Linked DNA regions of Callithrix jacchus. The protein of the gene in region 1 interacts with the protein of each later gene in a pairwise test. Links are inferred from orthologs where the notes say so. Each region holds a gene or a part of one and is shown in the gene's direction. Other genes may lie near its edges. The genes, in order: SMARCE1, KIFC3, TRIM54, CCDC136, TFIP11, CDR2 and RALBP1.

Evidence for each region.
Region 2: the proteins of SMARCE1 (region 1) and KIFC3 interact in binary tests that used the Homo sapiens proteins (3 or more experiments, as listed by UniProt). The two-hybrid records come from large-scale screens. The link is inferred for Callithrix jacchus from reciprocal best matches to the Homo sapiens genes SMARCE1 and KIFC3.
Region 3: the proteins of SMARCE1 (region 1) and TRIM54 interact in binary tests that used the Homo sapiens proteins (3 or more experiments, as listed by UniProt). The two-hybrid records come from large-scale screens. The link is inferred for Callithrix jacchus from reciprocal best matches to the Homo sapiens genes SMARCE1 and TRIM54.
Region 4: the proteins of SMARCE1 (region 1) and CCDC136 interact in binary tests that used the Homo sapiens proteins (3 or more experiments, as listed by UniProt). The two-hybrid records come from large-scale screens. The link is inferred for Callithrix jacchus from reciprocal best matches to the Homo sapiens genes SMARCE1 and CCDC136.
Region 5: the proteins of SMARCE1 (region 1) and TFIP11 interact in binary tests that used the Homo sapiens proteins (3 or more experiments, as listed by UniProt). The two-hybrid records come from large-scale screens. The link is inferred for Callithrix jacchus from reciprocal best matches to the Homo sapiens genes SMARCE1 and TFIP11.
Region 6: the proteins of SMARCE1 (region 1) and CDR2 interact in binary tests that used the Homo sapiens proteins (3 or more experiments, as listed by UniProt). The two-hybrid records come from large-scale screens. The link is inferred for Callithrix jacchus from reciprocal best matches to the Homo sapiens genes SMARCE1 and CDR2.
Region 7: the proteins of SMARCE1 (region 1) and RALBP1 interact in binary tests that used the Homo sapiens proteins (3 or more experiments, as listed by UniProt). The two-hybrid records come from large-scale screens. The link is inferred for Callithrix jacchus from reciprocal best matches to the Homo sapiens genes SMARCE1 and RALBP1.

Annotation. Positions count from the first base shown.
Region 1 is NC_133506.1:92,638,896-92,642,612, forward strand, and holds the end of SMARCE1 (SWI/SNF-related matrix-associated actin-dependent regulator of chromatin subfamily E member 1), read left to right. Parts: intron 1-181; coding exon 182-283; intron 284-943; coding exon 944-1,154; intron 1,155-2,945; coding exon 2,946-3,154; 3' UTR 3,155-3,217; downstream 3,218-3,717. UniProt on the Homo sapiens protein: Involved in transcriptional activation and repression of select genes by chromatin remodeling (alteration of DNA-nucleosome topology).
Region 2 is NC_133521.1:15,730,806-15,734,910, reverse strand, and holds the start of KIFC3 (kinesin-like protein KIFC3), read left to right. Parts: upstream 1-1,305; 5' UTR 1,306-1,330; coding exon 1,331-1,552; intron 1,553-4,105. UniProt on the Homo sapiens protein: Minus-end microtubule-dependent motor protein. Involved in apically targeted transport. Required for zonula adherens maintenance.
Region 3 is NC_133515.1:87,714,420-87,717,274, reverse strand, and holds the end of TRIM54 (tripartite motif-containing protein 54), read left to right. Parts: intron 1-330; coding exon 331-426; intron 427-967; coding exon 968-1,201; intron 1,202-1,462; coding exon 1,463-1,485; intron 1,486-1,597; coding exon 1,598-1,722; intron 1,723-1,841; coding exon 1,842-1,933; 3' UTR 1,934-1,934; intron 1,935-2,221; 3' UTR 2,222-2,355; downstream 2,356-2,855. UniProt on the Homo sapiens protein: May bind and stabilize microtubules during myotubes formation.
Region 4 is NC_133512.1:118,365,540-118,369,039, reverse strand, and holds part of CCDC136 (coiled-coil domain-containing protein 136), read left to right. Parts: intron 1-561; coding exon 562-855; intron 856-2,352; exon of another isoform or gene 2,353-2,690; coding exon of another isoform or gene 2,691-2,792; exon of another isoform or gene 2,793-2,797; intron 2,798-3,500. UniProt on the Homo sapiens protein: May play a role in acrosome formation in spermatogenesis and in fertilization.
Region 5 is NC_133502.1:197,225,308-197,228,807, reverse strand, and holds part of TFIP11 (tuftelin-interacting protein 11), read left to right. Parts: coding exon 1-381; intron 382-498; coding exon 499-617; intron 618-2,196; coding exon 2,197-2,365; intron 2,366-2,764; coding exon 2,765-3,008; intron 3,009-3,500. UniProt on the Homo sapiens protein: Involved in pre-mRNA splicing, specifically in spliceosome disassembly during late-stage splicing events. Intron turnover seems to proceed through reactions in two lariat-intron associated complexes termed Intron Large (IL) and Intron Small (IS).
Region 6 is NC_133513.1:22,965,431-22,969,705, reverse strand, and holds the start of CDR2 (cerebellar degeneration-related protein 2), read left to right. Parts: upstream 1-1,475; 5' UTR 1,476-1,779; coding exon 1,780-1,858; intron 1,859-4,275.
Region 7 is NC_133514.1:53,411,178-53,414,168, reverse strand, and holds the end of RALBP1 (ralA-binding protein 1), read left to right. Parts: intron 1-547; coding exon 548-814; 3' UTR 815-2,491; downstream 2,492-2,991. UniProt on the Homo sapiens protein: Multifunctional protein that functions as a downstream effector of RALA and RALB. As a GTPase-activating protein/GAP can inactivate CDC42 and RAC1 by stimulating their GTPase activity.

The DNA of each region.
Region 1 (3,717 bases):
TTGTAGTTTTTAAATCTTAGCTAGACTCATGTAATTAATGATCTGAAGTAAAAATTCAAAGCATTATTTGGTACACTGTTTGAAATTGTGGACCATTAAAAAATGAGACATATTTTCTGTGTTTGACATTTGCTTTAGAGAAAATAATTAAGTAATTATAGAGCCTGATCCTGTCTTACAGCGAAAACTAGAAGCTGAACTTCTTCAGATAGAGGAACGACACCAGGAGAAGAAGAGGAAATTCCTGGAAAGCACAGATTCGTTTAACAATGAACTTAAAAGGGTATCTGTTTAATATGTTAACTATACTTTTATCACGATGCCTGTTACTTTATTTTTCCTCATTCTTTTTTCCAAAATAGTGTTTTAATGAATGTTGTTCACTTTGAAACAGGGTTAACTTTACTATATAACCTGTAAGATCTTTTTTTATACAATTTTTCCCATCCTCTGGCAGAATTGCAATAAATTTGAAATATCATGGAGTATACACATATCTACTAGGCCTATAAATGCTAGAGCCCTCTGATATTTTAAACTCCCATACAGTCAATTACTTTTATTGTGATTTATTCATAAAATGTCTTCATTAGATGTAATTCATAGTTTGCACTTTACATGTAGACAAGGATATCTAGTTGGTAGCCCAAAATATAAAATGGAAGCCTTATGTATACCCCAGAACTTTCACTGTTTTGCCTCACCAGCTGCTCTGGAATATCGGATGTTATACAACTGCTACAGCAGCTTTCTTTTCTTGTAGACCCAAGAGTTTCAGAGAAGACCTAGAACCACATTTTTTTGCCACACACACAGACACACAGGTGTATAGAATATATATATATATATAGTTTGTGGGCAAGAAAACCAACTTTTGAAAGAATATTTCTGGCTCAAAAATTATAAGAAAACATTACTAAGAGTTCTGGTTTATTCTGACTAGTTGTGCGGTCTGAAAGTAGAAGTGGATATGGAGAAAATTGCAGCTGAGATTGCACAGGCAGAGGAACAGGCCCGCAAAAGGCAGGAGGAAAGGGAGAAGGAGGCAGCAGAGCAAGCTGAACGCAGTCAGAGCAGCATCATTCCTGAGGAAGAACAAGCAGCCAACAAAGGCGAGGAGAAGAAGGACGACGAGAACATTCCAATGGAGACAGGTAACCCACTAGCAACAAACACAAGGAAGTGCCAAGACTTTGTACAGCTGTCTTTAATTTAGATTTTTCTTTCTAAGTGCAAGTTTTCTGATACCTGCCACTGAGAGTGATTCCCAGTACTGAATTTGACATGATATTGACATTCAATATTTTAACCTTTATTGCTTACATTATTTATCAAGATGTAGTTATTGCTTTAAGATCAATTATCTTAACAGCATTGGTGTTAAGATAATTGTCTTTGGTGTCCTAGGACAGCATTCTTCAAAGTAATACCGATAGGCCAATTCTGCCCACCACTTGCTTTTGTAAATAAAACTGGAACACAGCCACACTTGTTTGTTTACATATTGTCTATGGCTGCTTTGGGGCTAAAACAGTATAGTTGAGTAGTTGCAACAAAGACTGCCTAGCCTGCAAAGTCGAAAATATTTGCTGTCTGGCTCTTTACAGAAAAAAATGCCAACCCTGTCCTAGAAAAGCCCTTACTTCTAGGTATATTGATTTTCCTGATTGAAAGCAGCATCCCTCAAGGTAAAAAATAATAGTAATAACTTGTATGAATAAAACTTATATAAAGTACTGATTACAATGATTATCATTTGTAATTTTGAGATGACCTAACCTCATAGCACTGTTTTGACACTGCCTAGTACACTGTGTAAACAGGACTAAGCTAAAAGTTGTTATGGAAAACAAAACCAAAGGCTTCCTGGAGCATCGCTGCAAGAAGTGGGAGGGACAGTAGTCATACTTGGTACTCAAATGACAACCTCCAAGTGTCATACTTTGTAGTCAGATGACAACCATCTGGAAAACATGTAATGAAATACAGATCTTTACCAGGTATTTTTGCAAAATTTAATCCAGCAGGTTAACATTTTAGATAGTCATATGTTAGGTTTCACTATCTGAGTCTCTGTTTTGTATGAACATGTTTTTTATCGTAATGAATTTGGAGCATGAGCACATCTTTGTGGTTAAAGTAAGAGCTTGAAATTTAAAATACTGATTTTTGCAACTGTAAGAACACTCTGTCCCTTGCCTCTGTTTTGGCACCTGTGAATGAGGCATGTCTTATGCTTACGGTTTGCAGGTCTTTACTCAAATTCTGTTCTCCTAGCTCAAGGAAAAACCTGAAGAAGATCGTATGACACTATTAGAGCCAAAAGCTCATGCTTTTAATTTCCTACAGGAAACAGTCCAGCATGACTTTAAGAAAGTATCTAAAAGATCAACCTTATATCATTTCTACAACTGCTTCTCCTCATTTAATCCTTAGCACTACAGACTGACTCTCATTTACTGTCCAATAGAAATAAAATGCAATTCACATGTGAAATTTTAAATTTTCTACTAGCGACCTATTTTTAAAAGTTAAACAAAACAAGTGTTTTAACAATATATTTTATTTAATTCAGCATATCCTAAGTAACATTATTTCAACACGGAAGAAACATTTTTAAAATCAGCTTTCCTTTTTTTAAATAGTCTTCAAATCCAATGTATATTTTATTTTTCTACACATCTCAATTCAGAAGAAAATTGTTATCAAAAGTATTTGATCTGCATTTATTTAATAAATTTCATAAATACAGCTAAAAGTTAGGTTTTCATACCCAGATTGTTCCAACATTCTTAAAAGTTCTGTAGTCACACTGGCTCATTTCAGGGGTTTAATAACCACATGTGGCTAGTGGCTCCTGTATTGGACAGCCCAGTTGTATGCTGTCAGCATAACTAGAGTAAAATTTCATCTTGGAACTGACAGTGACAAATATGTGATTACAGAGGAGACACACCTTGAAGAAACGACAGAGAACCAACAAAACGGTGAAGAAGGCACGTCTACTCCTGAGGACAAGGAGAGTGGGCAGGAGGGGGTCGACAGTATGGCAGAGGAAGGAACCAGTGATAGCAACACTGGCTCGGAGAGCAACAGTGCAACAGTGGAGGAGCCCCCAACAGATCCCATACCAGAAGATGAGAAAAAAGAATAAATGTTGCCTTGTTTTATGTGTTCTAAATACTTTTTTAAATGAAAAAATGTTTTTTGGTTTTAATGGTGTTATGTGGTTTGTGTATTAATTTTTTTCTTGTCCATATCACACCACCAAAGGCTTTTGGACCATTTAGCCTCATGAACCTAATGGCACAGTCAGTCACCCTTCTTAGTGTTGTGAAGATGGCCCTTTTCTTTGGATCTTGTTTCTAGCCCTCAACTGCTGAAAGCCTCAGAATTTAGATTAATTGAGAAAACACCCTCCTCTTTTAGAGAATTATCCTTTGATGCTGCAGAATCTACTGTTACAATGCCTTCCTACAGCTCACTGGGGTGCTTACCAAAGCCATAGCTTTAAACCTTCCCAATCCCCATCAACAGTTTCCTGAAAATCTCCTCTCTTGTTTACTTCTGCAAAGGGTAGCTTCTTAAAACTGTAATCATGTATGAGTATGTATTTGTTCACTTCCCCTTTTTTACTTTTAGTCAATGTCAGATACCAAGAGTTGTGTTAAGAAGTTGAGTGTAGGCTACAACTAACTATGCTTGGATCTTACCGAT
Region 2 (4,105 bases), on another chromosome or scaffold:
AAACAATATGGAAAAAAGATCTCCACCTCTCAGAGGCGAGTCTCCCTCATAGAGGAAAAGAGGGAATAATAACAGGCACGAAAATACATGGACATTTTGTCTGTTGGAAGGTGTTAAATGCGACGACTAAAAAGAAAAATGAACCACCCAGACAGCAGAGTAAGGGGTGCCAAGAGCTGGGGCAGAGGTGGAAGAGGAGGAGTGAGCTGTGGTTTTAACTGAGGAGATCAGGGAGAGTCTTCTTGAGGAACAGGCACCTGAGCAGGTGTGGAGGGAGGGAGGGAGGGAGCCCTGTGGATATCTGGGCAGAGAGTGTCCAAGGTGGAAGAACCCATGCGAAGGCCCTGGGGCTGTCTGGCAGATTTTGGGAGCAGAGCAAAGGTGTCGGGAGGGATAGGAGGCTTGGAGCAGAGAGGGCTTGGGTGCCACTGCAAAACCTTAGTTTTTACTGGAAGCGATATGGGAGCTGTTGGGAATAGATGTTGGAAATAGATGCTCGGTGCCGCAAAGAAAAATCAGCCCTGAGACAAAGGATCTTTCAGCAACACAATTTTGGCTTCCGGAACTGCAGGAGGGGTGCTCTTGCCACCATCTTGCCACAAGAGTGGCACGGACGGCGTTGGGCAGAGTGAGGTGATTGCTTTTGGTTTTAACAGGGTCACTCAGGCCACTGAGTTGGGAGGTGATTACAGCGGGTCAAGGACTATTGCGGGAGTAGAGGGAGGGACGGCGGGACAGTGGCGGTGATGAGAAGTGGGCAGATTCTGGGTCATATCTGAAGGTTGAGCCAGCAGGAATTGTAACTGAGAGGATGTAGGGTGTGAACCAGAGTCCATGATGCCTGCCGTGTGCTTGGAGTCATCCAGAAAGGATGCAGGTGCTATTAGCTGGAATGAGAAGGCTGGAGGAGAAACCAGATTTGTGGGGAATGAAAATCAAAGTTTCAATTTGGACGTCTTGAATTCCCACTTGGCTGTCAGGAGCCTAGTTCACTTAATTTTTGTCTCCCTGCTATAAAAATTCTAATTCTTCTCAAGACCGTATGGGCTGCAGAGGAGACGCGCTGGCTAAATGACCGAAAGGGCAACATTTCAAGAACCCTGCTGGTGACTTGGGTCAGTCCCTGGAAACTGAAGACCCTGTCCTCAAAGCCTTTTAAATGCTGAGCTAATGACTGAATGCCTTCCTTGTTCAACACCACAGCTGCTGCAGGGTCCAGCTAGGAATTGGAGAACCAAGTAGAAAATTCCAGGGCACAGGCTGCTGTGGGCTCCAGAGTAGAAGACTGTGCTCCCACAGCCTGTCAGAGCGAGACGGGCTGCAGGCTGCCATGTTTGCCGTTCCAGCCCTGGTGTGGCTCTGTTCGAACACCTGGGCCCTGCGGAGGGGGCGGCGGGGAGAGTGGGACAGAGACTCCAGCACAGGCCAGGAGGAGGCCCCCTGCTGGCACTGGCCCAGCTCCACCACCTCCAAGGAAGATATTCTTGCTGAACTCCAATCCCCCTCCCCAGGGAGCATCCTGATCTCAGAGACACGAGGCTATGGCTTTCAGGTAAGGGACCTGCACCAGAACTTGCCTATGGGTTTACGCTACCTTTTTTTTTTTTTTTTACGCTCCCCACCAAGACAGAATCTTGCTCTGTTGCCCAGAGCTGGAGTGCAATGGCGTGATCTTGGCTCATTGCAACCTCTGCCTCCAGGGTTCAAGTGATTCTCCTGCCTCAGCCTCCCAAGTAGCTAGGATTACAGGCACATGCCACCACACCCAGCTAATTTTCGTATTTTTAGTAGAGACGGGGTTTCACCATGTTGGCCAGGCTGGTCTCGAACTCCTGACCTTGTGATCTGCCCACCTCGGCCTCCCAAAGTGTTGGGATTACAGGCATGAGCCACTGCGCGCAGCCTAGGCTGCCTTTAGATCAAGGAAAAAAACGTTTTTTTTTTTTTTTTTTTTTTGAGGTGGATTCTCACTCTCTTGCCCAGGCTGGAGTGGAGTGGTACAATTTTCGCTCACTGAAATCTTCATCTCCCAGGTTCAAGTGATTTTCCTGCCTCAGCCTCCCAAGTAACTGGGATTACAGGTGTAAACCACCATGCCCAGCTATTTTTGTATTTTTTTTTTAAAGATGGCGTTTCACCATGTTGGCCAGGATAGTCTTGAACTCCTGACCTCAGGTGATCCACCCACCTCAGCCTCCCAAAGTGCTAGGATTATAGGCGTGAGCCACCGCGCCTGGCTTATTTTTGTATTTTTAGTAGAGACAGGGTTTCACCATGTTGGCCAAGCTGGTCTGGAACTGCTGACCTCAAGTGATCTGCCTACCTTGACCTCCCAAAGTGCTAGGATTACAGGTGTGAGCCACCACGCCCGGCCAAGGAAAGAAACATCCACAGGGTGAAGTATTGATGCCTACCTTTAGGTCTTGCAAACATGTCTGAAGATTATTCAATTTAGATATTTCCAGTGTCTTCTATATTCTCAGAAGCTCCTGCCAACTGCCCGGATCTGACTCACAGAGCACCAGGGATTTTGTTTGTTTGTGTTATATTTTTCGTAGAGATGGGATCTTGCTGTGTTGCTCAGGCTTGTCTTGAACTCCTGGGCTCAAGTGATCCTCTATTTTCAGCCTCCTGGAATTCTGGGATTACAGGCCGAGGTCAGGAGTTCCAGACCAGCCTGGCCAATATGGTGAAACTCCATCTCTACTAAAAATACAAAAATTAGCTGGGCATGGTGGTGCGTGCCTATAATCCTAGCTACTTAGGAGGCTGAGGCAGGAGAATTGCTTGAACCTGGGACCATTTTTAAGACCATTTTTCTAATGATGAGTATCTATGCAGCCAGGGCATCAGGGCATCAGAACCCAGCACCACCAGTTCTTGGCAAGGGACTTGAGCAAGTCACTGGATCAGCCTGCACCTCAGTTTCCCCCTTTGTGAAAAGGGCTAACAGTAGGTGGTGATGAGGTGAAGCAGGTAAAGTGCACGGCCCAGAACCTTGCTGGCAGGAAGTGCCCAGTGTTCACATTCCGACTGTCTCATGGGCGAATCTCTGTCCAGTGGTTCAGAATTAATTGAAACTCCTTTAATCTGAAATATTTTACCCTGATTTGCCTATGAGATTATTTTATACACAATTCCTGGCACAGAGTAGATGCTGTATGATATTTATTTTTTTTGGGGGGGGGGAAGAATTTTATTCTTGATGCCCAGGCTGGAGTGCAGTGGTGCAATCTCATCTCACTGCAACCTCTGCCTCCCAGGTTCATGCGCTTCTCCTGCCTCAGCCTCCGAAGTAGCTGGAACTATAGACATGTGCCACCACACCTGGCTAATTTTTGTATTTTTAGTAGAGACAGGGTTTTGCCTTGTTGGTCAAGCTGGTCTTGAACTCCTGTCCCTCAGGTGATCTGCCTGCCTCTGCCTCCCAAAGTGCTGGGATTACAGGCATGAACCACTGTGCCTGGCTGTGCTCTATATTTATTTAGGGGATTTTTTTTTTTTTTTTTTTTGAGATGAAGTCTCACTCTTGTTGCCCAGGCTAGAGTGCAATGGCGCAATCTTGGCTCACTGCAACCTCCCAAGTTTAAGCAATTCTCCCGCTTCAGCTTTCTGAGTAGCTGGGATTACAGGTGCCTGCCACCACACCTGGCTAATTTTTGTATTTTTAGTAGAGATGGGGTTTCACTATGTTGTCCAGGCTGGTCTCAAACTCCTGACCTCAGGCTATCTGCCTGACTTGGCCTCTCAAAGTGCTGAGATTACAGGCATGAGCCACTGCGCCTGCCTATTTAGAGGAGTTTGAACACCATTGTGTGACCTGGTGTTGGGATCTGAACTCTCTTTATACTGTCTGTGTGATCTCGGGCAAGTCACAAAACATCTCCTAATCATCAGTTTTTGGACTTATTAAAATGGCAATAGTGGGCTATTACTGGGATGTTATAATAAGATAATGTAATTATGGCATGTTACGGGATGCAAAGAGAAGGTAGACGACAGGGGCTGTGAGTCAACGGCTAAGTTGTTAGTCTGATTGAACAGTGTTACTGAATTACGAAATTGAATGATTGATTATTATTGGATTGTTTTTGCTGCTATTGCT
Region 3 (2,855 bases), on another chromosome or scaffold:
GGATAATCATCAAGAATTTCTTGCATCAGAATTGATGCAAGAAACGAATCTTCAGATAAAGCATCTAGCCCTGTGCCTGGCATCTGGTGGATGGAGACTGTCTGTTCCTTCCCACTTAGTGGTGGAGGGCTTCTTCTCTCCACCTCCTTCTAGAATCCCTAGAATGTGCTTCTGTACCTCCTGATAGTTCAAGTCTTCTAGAGGGCTGTAGATGCCCTCATGGTGGGTGGGGTGAAGGGGACAGCCCTCTTCTAGGCAACCCTGGCTGGGGTGAGGGGTGTAGCTCTAGACCAGGTCCCAGTTCTAAGTGCTGACCTGTTTGTGTGTCAGAGTGAGCTCAGCGATGGCATTGCGATGCTGGTGGCAGGCAATGACCGGGTGCAAGCAGTGATCACACAGATGGAGGAAGTGTGCCAGACCATCGAGGTGAGCCTGGGCTAGAGGGAGGGGGGAACAGCAACTGGCGGGTCTGCGGACCCCGGGCTTCCTTCCAGAAGAATTGCTGTGGCCAAACTGGTCTGAAAGTTTCTGGGGTCCTGAAAGTGGTGGGATGGGCTTTAGCCAGGCTGCTGGGTATGCATTCCAGCTTTGCCTCGAAACTTTAATCCAGTTATTTAACTTCTCTGTGCTTTGGTTTTGTTTAACCTCATAAAACAGTGATGATGATAATGGTACACCAGCTACCTCATGGGTTCTTTTTAAGAATTAAATGGAATAACGCAAGTAAAAACCAGGGCTAGGGATATAGACAGCACTCATTGAAGCTACTTTAAAACATTGTGTTTTTATTATAGAAGAGATCTGGGCTGGATTCTGGCTCAGCCACTAGCAGTGGCACTGTGGACGGGTCACTTTCTGTCTTGGTTCTCTGAGCTCCATCAAGTGGGGAGCAGGCCCAGTACCCTGGGATTTCCCAGCCACCGGGTCTCAGCCACGCCTTCCCTGGTCCTTGCTCCCCATCTTTCAGGACAATAGCCGGAGGCAGAAGCAGTTGTTAAACCAGAAGTTCGAGAGCCTGTGTGCAGTGTTGGAGGAGCGCAAGGGCGAGCTGCTGCAGGCACTGGCCCGGGAGCAAGAGGAGAAGCTGCAGCGTGTTCGTGGCCTCATCCGTCAGTACGGAGATCACCTGGAGGCCTCCTCTAAGCTGGTGGAGTCTGCCATACAGTCCATGGAAGAGCCACAGATGGCGCTCTACCTCCAGGTGGGCTCTAGGGGAGGGTGGCAGTGCTGCAGAGTGGCTGGAGTCGGGGCCTTGGCACCTGGACATCCAGGTTCAAGTCTTGTCTCTTGGACCTGCCTTGCCCCTACCACCTTGGGCAATTCACCCCCTCTGAGTTCATTTTCTCCTTAATGAAATGGGATGTACCTTCCCACCTACCCTGCAGGACTGTGGTGAGAAAGAAATGGGACTTAGCCCAGGTTGGCCCAGTGCTTACTCTCACCCTCCTTTTCTCCCCTGCAGCAGGCCAAGGAGCTGATCAATAAGTGAGTAGGCACAGCGGGAAGGGAAAGGAGGGGGCTGCGCTGCTCCACTGGCTGGGGGAGGGGCTTGAGGGTGCTGGGGCATTGCCAGTTGAGCCCAGTGTGGTTGCTGCAGGGTCGGGGCTATGTCGAAGGTGGAACTGGCAGGGCGGCCAGAGCCAGGCTATGAGAGCATGGAGCCATTCACCGTGAGCGTAGAGCACGTGGCCGAAATGCTGCGGACCATCGACTTCCAGCCGGGTGAGGGAGATGGCCAAGGGCCACCGGGACTGGGGTTCCGACCCTCCATGTGGGGGCAAGGCGGGCAAAATGGCAGGAAAGGCAGGGACTCCACCTCACCAGGCCTTCCTTGGGCCCAGGCACTTCCGGAGAGGAAGAAGATGAGGAAGTGGCCCTGGACGGAGACGAGGGCACTGCGGGGCCGGAGGAAGGGCGGCCGGATGGGCCTTAAGGTGAGTGTCCTGAGGGACTTGAAATGGGGCCTGGCTGGTGCACTCATGTCCCCTCCCCCGGTTACTGTCCCCCAATCCTCGGTACCACCCTACCCCGGAGCCACAAAGGTGCATCCCCCAGGGCGGAAAAGCACACTTCCTCCACCCCCACCGTACCTCCGGGTTACTGGGAGGGCAAGCAGAGTTGGCTGAGTAGAGGAGAAACCCACGTGGCGGGCGACCGAGTGAGCTGGGCTCGAGCTGCCTCGCGCCTTCTCAGCACCTGCTCACTAAGCCTTCTTTCCCAGGCACAGGTCTGCGCCGACCCGACTCTGGTCAAGAGCCTGCGCTAGGGTCGGGGAGGATCTGCGCAGAGACCGCAGAGTAGCCCAGCTCGGCGCCCGCCCCGGGAGGATCTTAATAAAGAACTCGAGCTCCCAGACCCGTATCTCCTTTCGCTGCCCAATCCCTCAGCTTCGGCTTTGGAGGCGACCCGCCACCATTCTGCCCTTCCTGGAACCTGAGACCGTTTGGGCGGGTGGAAGCCAAATGAACCCTTTTTGGGCACCTCCGTGATGCCAGGAGAGAACTGGTGAGCCCAGCACCCTTGGAAGAGGGTTGAGGGCAAGGCGGTGGTGCCGGGACCTGAGGTCCTGGGGATTTGGGGAGCCCTGGGGTCCACAGGCACCTGGCTGACCTGGCTGAAAGCCGCTCTCCCGGAGCCCCCCTCCCCCGCGCATCCTGTTCCCTTCCAGCTGGCTAGGGGGCCCCACCTTCCCACAGGTTCCCACCCTGCTGTGACTGCCGCCCCCCCAACAACAGAAGCCAACAGCTCTTCAGCACTTTTATTAAAAAATAGCCACGCAGAGAATGCTCTGGTGGCTCTGCCCCGCGTCCCAACCCTGAGGTGGGGGAAAGGGGTCAAAGTTTTCGCGGCCCCAA
Region 4 (3,500 bases), on another chromosome or scaffold:
CTACAGTGGTTCCCATCTTAATGGAAAGTGGGTGCTCCATTTTCCTGTGAAGCGATTGGGCGGGTGGAACACAGACAACTCACATTGGGAGGTTCAGCCCCAAAGGACCACAGCCCCTAGGCTGGACAGCTATTTCATTTCACCCAGCCCCATTTGCTGGGGCCCCTGTTCTTCCTGGGTTGCATGCCCAAGAGAAGTACCAAACAGATGAAGAGGGAAGCATTTGTTAAAAATAGTTGTGTACTAATAAGTAAAAGAGGATTGGGTAAAAGAAGAGTCACCATAAGGGTAGGAAAAGACAATTTAGGTGCAGAGCCCAAGACTCATTAGTTCTGGCAGCTGTCTGACATGGCTTAATGGCCAGACATAGTGTCCTGAGAGGTGAGGTATGATCTCTATATATGCTCAGGAGGATTGGCTCGCAGTCCCAGACCACCGGGCCACACCCTTGCACTGTGACATGCTGGAAGTCATGTTTCCTTGAGCTAGTACAGCTTTGTCATGAGGTTAGGAGCTTCACAGGTAATGCAGCCCCCATCCTGCCCTACCTCCCACCCACAGAGTCTGGAGGTGGTGCTGTACTACAAGGCCAGCCAGATGAAATTAGATGGACTAGCAAAAGAGGAGGAAAAGAGAGAGGAGATGGAGGAGGAAAAAGAGAAGGAGGTGAAAGAGGAAACAAAGGAGCCATGTGGGGATGAGCTAGCAGCTGAGCCAGAAGATCCTGGGGAAGCTAAATCCACAGAAGATCAGGAGGAAAATAAAGAGGACAATGAAGACGAGGAAGATGACATCAACTCTTCCCTTGAAAGTCCCAAAGAAAACAATCCCCTCAGACTTTCTGAGAGCAAAAAGGTAACCAGAGCCAAAGGCTAGATCAAGTGGGAAGTGGGCGCTTAGACTCCGGTGCCTCAGAGTTCATGGGTGGCCCTGCCAAGGATGTATGACTCCAGGAGTAGAGGCCTTGCGCTCTAAGGCTTAGGCCTTCGGGGAGGTGGAGATGCAGAAGCGGGAGGCGAGAGCAGTCTGTCTGCAGGAAGTCAGGGGCTCAGCCCCATTTGCTGTGGAACCACCTCCCAGTGACCACCTTTTCTGGGAACCAGCGTGGGGTCTCTGGAGTCCTTTCATTTGCATAGTAGCCTTTGTTGCCTTCCTTATGTCAGGACTCTGCCCTCATCCGTCTCTTTGGCACTGCAGGAAGGACGTTGACAGTGTAAAGTCTACTTCAGGCCATTTCTGTCGGCCTGGGCACATCACTCAGTTTTTCTATGGTGCCCTGTTAGCATTAACCTTTGTTGTTGCTGTTACGGGTGTGTCAGGGGATAATCTCTTCTTTGTTTGTGTCACCCCCTGGATTCTGTATATCACAGGATGTGAAAGTGGGGCCTGAGAGTGATAGTGAAAATGTTTCACATCTGTGCAGTAGGGGCATAGACTAGTCCAAGGAGACCATCCCTTCAGTTGCTGGATTGTTGAGAGGCTGGGGTGGAGGTATCCTGGGATATATTTGCCAGGATGCTAGGGGTAACTTATCAGTAGTATAGACACACTTCCATATTTTAGTAACTGGTATGTTTCCGCAGGTATGTAGCAACTGAATTCTTGCCCTGGGCTTAACTGGGGCCTCAGAGCCCCTAAAGAGTTAGAGTATTTCCTGTGTAAGTCCTCAGCTTACATTACAGGTTCTTTCTGTCCTAAGCAGAGGTAAAGAAAAAAGCCTCTTGTGGTGGGATTATCCAGTCAACTCTAAGGATATCTGGAATTTCCAGCAATTCGGTCTTCAGCACTCACTAAGAATCCAGTGTGTAGTGCTCTGTTGACCTTGTGCCAGGGACCGTTACCTAAGATGTGAAAAGTCAGAGGCACTGCAACCCCTCCCATTATTATGTTTCCTTCAACTCATCATGTTCTACCAGCGCTGGTTCAGGGCCTCACAGATGTCTTTACCTTGGGTGCCACATTTCTAAAGCTAGACCTGATTTTTCTACTTCAAATACATTCTATGTTTCTTCATATGGAGAGATTCCTTTGCCCCCTGATCCTGCATCTTTTGCAGGCAGCTCTAGGGCATGTGTGTTACCACTTTGCAAATCCAGTTTCTGTCTGGAAGATGGTTGCAGTGAAAGAACTAGCCCTTCTCCCTTGTCAGTTTGTTTCAGTGCATTTTGTCTTACAATGATATCATTAGATTGCTAGGGGATCCAAGGGACCAGAGCCCGAAATACTAAGAAACTTATGGAAAGCAGGCTAGAACAAAGGGACAGGTGGCCTGGTAGAAGACTGGCTCTTCCTAGGGCCACCTAGGAAAAGCATCTGCCCTACTCCTCTAAGGAAGCTGTTTACTCTCTGCAGCGTCACAAGAAGGGTCTAGGTGCAGATACCTCGTGCCTAACAAGATATGAGAGGTCTATGACAAGACAGAAAGAAAACTGGACTCACCGCCTGACTTGGACCTGGCTGCTGCTTAACCCATTCAATTTTGCAATTCCTGCAGACTGCTGGCGGAAAGAACCAAGGCCCAGGCAGCAGAAAAGACATGCAACTGCTCTAGCTTACCTGTTTTTTAACCTCTTGATTCCTTTCTCTTTTCCCTTTGTTTTCTCATCTTCATTATCTGTTGGATCCATGTGTTTATGTCTCACATCTCCTGGTCTCTCCTCGTGCTTCTTTCTCATTTTGGTTTGTTGCAGTCATCCCCTACCCCCGATCCCCCCATCTTCTCCTTGCCTCTTGTAGGCCTGGTGGTCATCTCGGCTTTGCTCTGGTGCTGGTGGGCTGAGACGTCGTCCTAATGCAGGTACTGGTATTGCTTCCTCTCCTTCTGAGGGATAGAGGGAGGGTGCAGGTTGCCCTGGCCTCTCCTCTTTCCCTTTTCTCCCAGCTGCTCGCTTCTTGCTTGTGCCATTTTACAATAGGTGATGCTCAAGTCTGAGTTTTAGTTCTGACTTTTCCTTGGGCTACTGCAAAGCCTGTGACATCTTGGCGCATGTCTTCATAATGCATAGGAGGTTGGAATGCTTGCCAGAGACATGGTTTGAGTTTCAGTCCTTGGCTGGGAAAACCTTGGATAAGCCCAGCATGGTTGCTACTGTCAAAGCTGCCTCACTACTTCTTTTTCCCCCTCATCTCTGTGTGATGGCAAGCCTGACCACTTCTGATGGGCTGACATTTGTCTGCCAGGCTGGCCTGGGCCCTCTTTGTCTTTGTTTAACCTCAGAGCCAAGTTCTCACAACTGTTGCTACCCAGGATGGCAAAATACGGAATCCCTCTTCTGTTGGGAGAGAGAAGAGGTCCGAAGAGCTGTGATCCTCATGATCCTCCCAGGGGCGTTGGTAGGAGGGCAACCTAAGTTGGTCTTTCAACCTTGGCGAAATAGAACTGAACACCTACTGTATTACTCTGCACCTTCTACTGAATGGTTTTCTGCTTCTGGACTTCCAGTCTCCAGAAAAGTCAGAACAGAATGCCGGGAAATATTTTATAGTTCTCTGTTTATTTC
Region 5 (3,500 bases), on another chromosome or scaffold:
CTGCCCGAGCTGGAGCACAACCTGCAGCTGCTCATTGACCTCACCGAGCAGGAGATCATCCAGAATGACCGGCAGCTACAGTATGAGCGGGACATGGTGGTCAACCTCTTCCATGAGCTGGAGAAGATGACTGAGGTCCTGGACCATGAGGAGCGTGTCATCTCCAACCTCAGCAAGGTCTTGGAGATGGTGGAGGAGTGCGAGCGGCGGATGCAGCCCGACTGCAGCAACCCCCTCACCCTGGACGAGTGCGCCCGCATCTTTGAAACCCTGCAGGACAAGTACTATGAGGAGTACAGGATGTCTGACCGTGTGGACCTTGCCGTGGCTATCGTCTATCCACTCATGAAGGAGTACTTCAAGGAGTGGGATCCCCTCAAAGTGAGTTGTTGGGAAAATCAACCTCTCCCTGCCTCTCGGTTGGGCTTGCCCTTGCATGATGAGATGGTCTGGTGGGCAGGGAGGGCTGGAGAGCCCGCTGCCCCTCATCTGCTCCAGCTCTCTCCCCAGGACTGCACTTACGGCACCGAGATCATCTCCAAATGGAAAAGCCTCCTAGAGAATGACCAGCTCTTGTCCCATGGCGGACAGGACCTCTCCGCAGATGCCTTTCACAGGTACTGCAGGGCAGGGCTCTGCACTCCAGCTCCTTTCTCCTGGGGGTTGGGAAGGATTGCTGCTGGCCTTATTAATTCTCTGCTCATGCTGACACTGTTTAGGAATTTACATTCATTTGGCCATGAAATCATTTTTTTTTAATTTTTTTATTTCCATAGGTTATTGGGGAACAGGTGGTATAAGGTTACATGAGTAAGTTCTTTAGTGGAGATTCGTGAGGTTTTGGTGCACCCATCACCCGAGCACTGTACACTGAACCCAGTTTGTGGTCTTTTATCCCTCACCCCCTTCCCACCCTTTCCCCGAGTCCCCGGAGTCCACTGTGTCATTCTTATGCCTTTGCATCCTCATAGCTTAGCTCCCACTTAAGAGTGAGAACATATGATGTTTGGTTTTCCATTCCTGAGTTACTTCTTCACTTAGAGTAATAGTCTCCAGTCCTATCCAGGTTGCTGTGAATGCCATTGTTTCCTTTTTATGGCTGAGTAGTATTCCACTATATATACACATACACACATCTGTACATGTGTATGTGTATATATAGGTGCATAGATACTTGTCTGAGCAGGTATCTTTTTCATATAATGACTTTTTTGAGATGGAGTCTCGTTCTGTCACCAGCCTGGAGGGCAGTGGTGCTATCTCAGCTCACTGCAACTTCTGCCTCCTGGGTTCAAGAGATTTTCCTGCCTTAGCCTCCCGAGTAGCTGCGACTGCAGGGGCACACCACCACGCCCAGCTAATTTTTGTGTTTTTAGTAGAGACAGGGTTTCACCATATTGGCCAGGGTGGTCTCTATCTTTTGACATCATGATCTGCCCATCTCAGCCTCCCAAAGTGCTAGGATTACAGGTGTGAGCCACCACACCCAGCCATGACTTCTTTTCCTCTGGGTAGATACCCAGTAGTGGGATTGCTGGATCAAATGGTGGAAGTACTTTTAGTCCTTTAAGTAATCTCCACACTGTTTTCCATAGTGGTTACACTATTACATATGGCCATGAATTCAGCTGACGCTTGTCAAATATTTGTTGAGTATCATGCTTGTGTTAGGTGCTGGGCTTACCTTAGGAGTACAGCAGACAGCCTTTCTACAGCACAGCAGAAAAGGCAGATGGGAAATAAGGTAGTGAGCAAATAAAGGCGGGATGCACACCAGGTACTACAGTAGAGAATTGCAGAAGTGACCTACTTGAGATGGGGATTGGGACAGTGGTCTTAGAGGAGGTGACATTGAAGCTGTGATATTAGAGGGTGAGGAGTGAGCTGATGGACAGAAGTCTATAGGTGGGAAAGCACTTGATACCTGGGAAGAGGCCCTTGTGACCCTAAGGCAGCTCTGCCAGGTGGGCGGGCACTACTTAGGAGACTGAGGTCTCAGGTTGAGAGGACAGTCACAAAAACAAGGAAGAGGCAGCCTCAGGTCTGGCCAGTATAGTAACTGGCCTGACGGTTTCCTTTCATTGGATTTCCATGCTGTTGCATTTTTGTTTCTGATTCTAGAGAGGCAGGTGGTGGTGGTGTACTTGAAAACAATCAGTGTAATTAACTAGCCCGTCCTCTGCCTTTCTCCCATAGGTTGATATGGGAAGTCTGGATGCCTTTTGTTCGAAATATTGTCACCCAGTGGCAGCCAAGAAACTGTGACCCGATGGTGGACTTTCTCGATAGTTGGGTGCACATTATTCCTGTGTGGATCTTAGATAACATACTGGACCAACTCATCTTCCCCAAGCTGCAGAAGGAGGTGGGGTGAGAGTCATGGGAAACAGCTGTCGTCACTAACCACAGGGACAGTCTATGTCTTATCTCAGTGCTGTTAAAATGCCTGGAATTAACAGAATTTGTCAACCCAGCTATTGATCTATAGTGTTAATTTCAGCCTTTTTCTCAGCACTTTTTCCCCCAAGCCACCCTCAGGAAAGAATTCATTTTCTTGATTTATTCACTAAAATTAGAATTGTGCTATTTCTGAGATGTAATACAAATGAATGGGCATACTTGTTTGGCAACGTACAAAGGACTGTAGACCTTGTCTAGAAGAGCATGAGGCCTGCTCCTCCAAGGGCAGCTCTTGCCTTTAACTAAGGGATGCATGTGACTGCCCCGCAGGCAGCATGAACTGTTTCTTCTCCCTGCTTTGCAGGTGGAAAACTGGAACCCACTCACAGACACCGTTCCCATCCACTCTTGGATCCACCCGTGGCTGCCCCTCATGCAGGCACGGCTGGAGCCGCTGTATTCCCCCATCCGTAGCAAGCTGTCCAGCGCCCTGCAGAAGTGGCACCCCAGTGACTCCTCTGCCAAGCTCATCCTCCAGCCCTGGAAGGATGTCTTCACTCCTGGCTCCTGGGAAGCATTCATGGTCAAAAACATAGTGCCCAAGCTGGGTAAGGATTTGGGGAAAATACATTCCACATCCAGCAGCTTTGGTACCCTGGTTTCTGTGGTCAGCAGTGATAATTTAAAACATAGCCTTTGCGTTTGTGAAAGTGCTTAGCACACAGTATTCCTCACTGTGAAAAGCTACCCTTTTGTGCAGAGGCTGAACATAAAGTGTAACTTGGGTCCTTTCTACTGTTTATTTACAACAGTGACTAATAGTCAACAGTGATAATATTGGACTCTGTGCCTTGTGGCTTTCCTGCTTGGCTTTGGCTTCTGGTAACAGGACAGCCATTGGAGTTCTGAAATTTTCGTTGTATTTTACTCAGGTTATGGGAGTTATTTCTGGGTTAGCAAAAAAGAAAAATTATTTAAGAATTGCTATGTTAAGAGCTTAAATTTTACCTTTAAAAGCAGGTTAAAGCCTGAGCAACATGGTGCAACCCCATCTTTACCAAAAACACAAAAACTAGCCAGGCATGGTGGCATGCGCCTGT
Region 6 (4,275 bases), on another chromosome or scaffold:
GGGAGGTGGAGAGACACCTAAATTTTATTACCCACAAGAATTATTTTGTTACCCACAAGAATTATTTAGGATGCGTTTCCCTCTCTTTCAAATTACCCGTCTTTATTCTTTTACACAGAAAGACAAAAGTAGCCTTGAGTCTACAATTCCTTCCCTACAATTTCCCTTATTTTTAATTGTGCAAGTATCTAAAAAAGTAAGATCACAGGAGGGTTTATAACAAAAAGTCCCCAGCCCCAACTCAATCCTCCCCTTAGGGAAACTCTTAATTGCTCCCATTTTCAGTTCTGGCAGCTCTCTCCATATTTGTGGAAACGATTTGTTGGATTATCAATGTAAGGTATTATCTGCCGACTCACTGCTAAAATAGATCAGGATTTAACTAACACTCCTCTCCACTTCTAACAATTATTACCTTATGTTCTAATCTTTGAATTATATACTTAAACCTCGATTTTTTTGTTGTTGTTTTGTTGCTCAAACTTAGCAAGATACTGGTTCTGCTGTCTTCCATCGGCTGCACCTTTGCCTTTACTTCAAGGTTGAGAACATTGACCTTCAGGTCTGTCATCCTGCTTAAGAGTTTCCGTGCTTTGTCTGCAAGATGGTGCTAAAAGCTTAACCCACGAGCAGTATTTGCTGGGTTTTGTCGGTGGAGGACAGACAGCGTGCTCTGCCTCGCTGGCTACCAAGTGCTGGGGCTGCAGCCTGTCCCCTCCAGGTGCAATGTCATGTCCCCAGATGCTTAACTTGTGGTCTACGGGTACCTTTTAAAACTCGTATGCAACACTGCTTGCAATTTTTTCCTTCCAAGTGGACTGCTTCGGGCATCCCTCCCCGCCCCAAATTCTCAAGGGGGTCTGGCACCCACCGTTTTAGGGAGCGTCAGAACAATTCCCAGGGCTCAGATATCAAGGAGACAAAAGCTACCGCTCAATGGGCGTTTTCTTAGCCCTAAACTCCCGATCGACCCCGAGTCTCCCCGCCAGATTCGGAGCAAATCTGAGTCAAGATGCGAGAGGGGCGAGCGGGCGGCGGACCAAGCGCTTCTGGCACCCTTGCGCCTCCCGCCGGCACGAAGGACTTCCCTGGACAACCGCTCAACTCTCAGAGGTCGGAATTCTAGACCCTCAGGCCCTCGTTGCCTATCCACGGACGCGCCGGCCTCGGGACACCCACCGCAGGGGTAGGACGCGGCGCGGCGGGCTCCACAGCCCAGACCCCAGAACACGCTCCTAGGAGCCGCACCGCGCAGATCAGGGGGCGGGCTTTCGGCCGCACCCCTTCACTCTTTCCCCGCCTTCTTTGTTTATTCCGGGCCCGACATTGGCTGCATGCCCTCGAGACCGGGCGAGCCGCGCGCCTTTGGAGAGACGCGATTGGGCGAAGTCGCTGCCGCTCGGCCAGCGGCCCGCTCCCGATTGGTTGAGGAGCCGCCGGGGGTTTGAATCGCATCCCCAGCCGGGGAGGGTTCTGCCAAAGTGCCACGTTGGGCCCGGCGGCGGCGTGAGGAGCCGGCTCGGGGCCCTCGCGTCGGAACGCCCAGCCGTTGGGGCCGTTGGGGCCGTTGGGTGGCGCGACGCGAGTCAAGGAGGCGGCCGGTCGGTAGCGGCCGCCGGCGGGAGCAGGGCTGAGGCGGAGTGGCGGAGCCTGGGCGGCGGCGCGTCCCACCCGAGGGCGGCTCTGGCTGAGGGCGGAGGGACCGGGGGAGAGCCCGGGGCAGCGGCTGAGGTGGGACGGCGGCGGTGGGAGCCGCTGCCCCCGGAGGACCCAGCGGAGATGCTGGCGGAAAACCTGGTGGAGGAGTTTGAGATGAAGGAGGACGAACCGTGGTACGACCACCAGGACCTCCAGCAAGGTGAGGGCGGGGGCGCCCCTCGGGCGGGCGGGTGGCGGCCTGGCCCAGGAGGCTCCCGATGCGGAACTGTTAAAAAGTTGCTTTCTCTGGCGGTGGAGGATGCAGGTGCCGGGAAGGGCTCGGGCGCACCTGGCGGCGGGGCCGGCGGTGCCTGCGGATCCCGCCCGCAGGAAGCCTCGGCGCGGGGCCCACGGCCCTGCAAATACGCAGTTCAATATCGGCCCCAGGGCGCGTGGGGGCCAGCGGCGCGCCAGGCACCGTTTTAAGCGCTTTCCCTGGATTAACTGGTTTAATCTTCGCTGCATTCCTCCAAGACAGACCCGGGTGAACCAGGTGCCCCGCAGTAAGTGGCCGAACCCGGGAAGCCGCCCCCTCGCAGCCTGTCGACCCCAGCGCCTTTCATGGCCAGCGCGGAGGGCCGGCCGCTGCAGGTGGTGGTGGTTTTGCGCCTAGCGGGAGCTGTGTGCTCCGCACGTAACGGAACTCCAGGAAGCAGTAACTTTTCAAAAATTTATTTTTTAATGTTTGAGGGTACATAATAGGTGTATATATTTATGGGGTACATGAGATGTTTGGATACAGGCTCACATTGTGAAATAAGCACATGATGGGAAACGGGGAGTCCATCCCCTCCAGCATTTATCCGTTGAGATACTAACAAACCAATTACACTGAAAGTAACTTTTGTTACCCCATTTTCCAGATGGGAAAGGGGAGGCTCAAATGGTTAAGTCGCTTGCCTAAAGCTAAGTGTGGAGGGAGTGTTTTTTGAACCACACACTCGGAATTGTAGTCACTGCTCAAACCCCATCTCTTCTTTTCCATCCTAGTTTACAGCTTTTTTCAATTGGGCGTTAAGCTGTTAGACATAGTTCACCAGATGCCAATTGAAACGGCAGAAGAGCCCTTCTACCTCTGTCACTTCAGTTTGCATGCCAGCTTTCACTTAGAAACAGGCCTGCCGGTGGTGTCTCCAGAGAACAATCGTAGAGCGGCCCGCACTTTGGGACCAGTGGGCCCCCCTTTTTTTCATACTAATAGGAGCTAGCAGTTGGGAAACACTTTTTATGTGCCTAACACTGATAAGCCCATAACACAGTTGCTCATTTAATTCTCCTGGTAACACAATAGAGGTAGTAATGTTGGGGAGTGCTAGGGTTCCCCTTAAGACTCCAGAACATTCTTAACCACTGTGCTGAATACTGAATAATCCTCAAGAATTTTTCCAGGCATCTTCAGTTTCTGTAATTTTGTGTAAATGCTTTCACTAATCTTGCAGTGAAAATTAACATCTCATTTAGTTGAATATTAAATGATCATGATGCTTGTTCATGCTAACCGAACGTGGCAGAAGAAAAGAATCTAGACTTGAATAATTCAGAAAAGGATAATAAGCACCTCTTTTGGAGGAAGATAATTTCTTAAATTAACGTGCAATCACTTTAACCAAAGTAATTCACCTTATTATGCCTATAGACTCCAAGCTACTTAGTGGTTGCCGTGCAGTGTTCGGCACCATCTTCTTTAGGTCAAAAAGACAAATCTGTCATACATTTTAACAAACCTGTTTTCAGATTTCCCCATAAGGATTGATGGCCTAGTTTGATAGTTTCTCCAGGATTTATGAGGCAACCACTGTGCCATTGCAATATTTCCCTATAATTTAAGCAATCTGTATCATCATAACTAAATATTTTTCTTTCTTGTATTTAAGAAGCATAAATCTTTAAGGGAATAGAGGGGGTAGGTTCCTTTTTCAGGTTATTTCCAGCATCTAGCATAATACTTGTTACATACTGGAAGCCCAATTTTAATATTTGTTGAACTGAACTAAAGCACTCACACAAAATTGTTTTCCATGGCTCTCTTCCATCAGGTACCTTACTCCACGCTGCATTCTCCCGCTGTGGGAGATTGTTAGGAACAACTAGCTGTAACACTTCAGTCTACTGAGAAGCAAGTGCAAGGTGTCAGGGTTGCAGGTGGAATTCTCTTTAACCTCTGATCAAAATAAAGTCATTAGCTCTTCAAGTTTAACAAACCTTAAAAACACAGGTCTGGGCTGGGTAGAGTGGCTCACACCTGTGATCCCTGCACTTTGAGAGGCCGAGGCAGGCGGATCACCTGAGGTTGGGAGTTCGAGACCAGCCTGGTCAACATGGTAAAACTCCGTCTCTACTAAAAATACAAAATGAGCTGGGCGTGGTGGCGGGCGCCTGCAGTCCTAGCTGCTCTGGAGGCTAGGCAGGAGAATCGTTTGAACCTGGGAGGCAGAGATTGCAGTGAGCGGAGATGGCACCCTTGCACTCCAGCCTGGACAAGAAGAATGAAACTATGTCTCAAAAAAACAACACATAGGTCTGAACCTCTTTACTGCCAGTTGCATTTCTGTGTTTTTCAAAGGGCTGTTACATTTT
Region 7 (2,991 bases), on another chromosome or scaffold:
GGCTGCTGCTGTTCCATAGTACCTAAACTTTGCCTAGTGTGTCCAGATGATTTAGAAGTGATAGTAATTTTCTGTAGTTTGATTTGAGTAGGACATTTCAGAATTAAAGTAATGCCATTCACAAAAGACAAAGGAGATTCACCTTTGAAACAAATTTAGTCTTTTATCTGATCTCTAACTCTCCTCTCTAATTGCTAGTAAAATTACTTTTATTTTCTCCTTAAAGGCTGTTCAGAGATCACTTCCAAATTATATATAGGTTGTCTATTTTAAACACTAGGATACTGAATTATTAAAATAATGGTTTTCTGCTGGCACATGGATGCGTTTCTCTCCTGTAACCAGGAGCAGGGTTTCCAGCCTTACATTCTGAAGAGTCATGTGGCTTACTGTGCATTCCCATTGTGTTTGTCTTCTGTTTCACAACCCACTGACTTTAACAAAACGAGATTGCTCTGTAGGATGCCCTTGCTAACTGCGGTCTGCTCCTGAGAAATCGTCCTCTGACTTCCTGAAGTGATAACTGCCCTTTCTGTCATTCCCAAAGATAAAGAACAATCATTTGAATCAAGCAATTCATGAGGAGCGTGAGGCCATCATCGAGCTGCGAGTGCAGCTCCGGCTGCTCCAGATGCAGCGAGCCAAGGCCGACCAGCAAGCTCAGGAGGACGAGGAGTCTGAGTGGCGCGGGGTTGCTGTACAGCCGCCCAGAGACGGCGTCCTTGAGCCGAAAGCAGCTAAAGAGCAGCCAAAGGCAGGCAAGGAGCCGGCGAAGCCATCGCCCAGCAGGGACAGGAAAGAGACGTCCATCTGAGCAGCTTGCGCGGCCGTCCGGAGTCCACGAGACTGAAAGGACCTGTGCATCTTACTGTAACCCGGGGGCCAGGCTGGCTCTCTCGCTGTACATTCTGTAAAGGTGTCTTCTTCTCTTCTCAGACTCTTCCTCTGTTACATGTCTGACTCCTTTGCGTCAGGCTCAGGTTCTGTGGGAGGATGAAGCAGTGGACGCATTGTGGGCTTTAGGGACAGATGAGTTTTCCAGATAGTGTCAGCTTATTTGAAGATTAATTTTCTTTGTTAACTTAAAATAACTATTTTAACCCTTGAGTGGCTTCTTTTTAAACCAAAAATTGTCTTTCTTTGCTTTTTTATCACAGCAGAATCAGGATCTCTTTTTCATTCAAGGGGGGAACCACACCAGGTCAGCGCTGTGCCTGCTGTGGCTGCCACGAGCCGCGCCCTCCGGGATCTCTGGTACCGTCACTCTTGCTTGTGCCTTCCACACCTTCTCGGTGCAGATCCCTATGGGGGAGCTGCCTCACATTCTCTGACTGGCCAGAGTGGCACCTGGTGGGTATTCCCTGGCCCACCCTCCTAACTCCTTCTGCAGTTCTAAACCACAGTCCATAAGCCCGAGTCACCAGGATGGCCTCTTTGGCCATAGACAGGGGCTGCCTGTGGAGCCTGCCCACCTGCCCCTGGCAGCGCAGGCCTGCGGAGAGGAGGCCGCCTGTTCCCGCCGGTTCCTCACTGCGGGGACCAATAAAGGCCTTCTCACGGGGTTGGTCAAAGGTAAGGTAGTCACCTTGGCCGGGTGCATCCACAGAGGATGTTGCTCAAACCAGAAGTCTTTTAAATGACTGACCTTCCTTAAAAACAGAATGACTCCGATTGCTTGCTTGGGCTAGAATGTACATGTCTCCTTGCCTGAATAAGCCATATATATTCTTTTAAACAAAAGTTTGAAATGATCCCTATCGTCTTGGTGAACCTACTGGTGGACTCCCAATTGACAAGATTGAGCAATAGAAAAAAATTCCTTTCCTTTGAATGATAGCTGTGATTCACTCCGCCCCATTTTCTTGTTTCTGGTCCATCTGATGAGACGAATGCTCTGATGCTCTGAGGCTTCTGGGAGGCCGGGCTCTGGAGGCAACGTGCTGCAGTCACACTATGTCAGAGTGAACAGCACCGTGACAGGCCAGGCTCGTGGCTCGGAAGACAAACCCCACAGACATTCAAGGGGATGAAAACAAACCCCACACGAGGGCTCTCTCCTCCTCCTCCTGGGTAGTATTTATTTTCAGCACCTATTTGATGCAGTTTTTAATCCTCTACTTATTGCACTGTTGTGACTCGTTGGCCATTATTTGATTTTTGTACGGAAAAAAAGCTTTGTTATAGAAATCAGCATACTATTTTTTTAAATCTGGAGAGAAGATATTCTGGTGACTGAAAGTATGGTTGGGTGTCATATATAAATGTGCAGATGCCTTCTTGCTGTCCTGTCGGTCTCAGTACATTCACTTTATAGCTGCTGGCAATATCGAAGGTTCCTTTTTTGTTTGTGTAAACTCTAATTTCTATCAAGGTGTCATGGATTTTTTAAATTAGTATTTCATTACAAATGTCTCACATTGGTTAACTAATTTTTGCCAGGACCATTATTGATCAAGCAAATAAATTCAACAGCCATTTGGGAAAAAGAAAAGCTTCGAGTTTTTTGTACACATTCTTCCTGTGAAGAGATTGAGCACCCTGTGGCTGCCGAGGAGTTGGTTGAGGCACTTCTTCAAGGCTAAAGGAGAACATAGTGTTTTGTTTTCAGCTCACTTTGTATCCCTCACCTCTGCAGGTGTGGGGAGCACGCCAGGCCCCTGGCATGCATGCTAGCAGCAGCCTGCCACCCTTCCACAAGCCGTTGCTGCTGGGAGGGAGCCCGTGTTTGCAAAACCCAGTGGACTGGGTTGGGTCTGCAGTCAGCCGCTCCTGGCTCTAGTGGGAACTGCACACAAGTCCACTGGCCTGGCTTGGCCCCAGGCATTGCAATTTACAGACATTTGCATTTCACGCGGTAAATGAGGACTCAGCACAGCCAATCATAATTAGCATGTCTAGGATAGACTGGTCTAGAATAAAAATGAAGTTTCCATTGCTTTTTTTGCTTTAAAAATTCCACAATTAAAGTATCTGTCATTGAAAGCTCAGAGA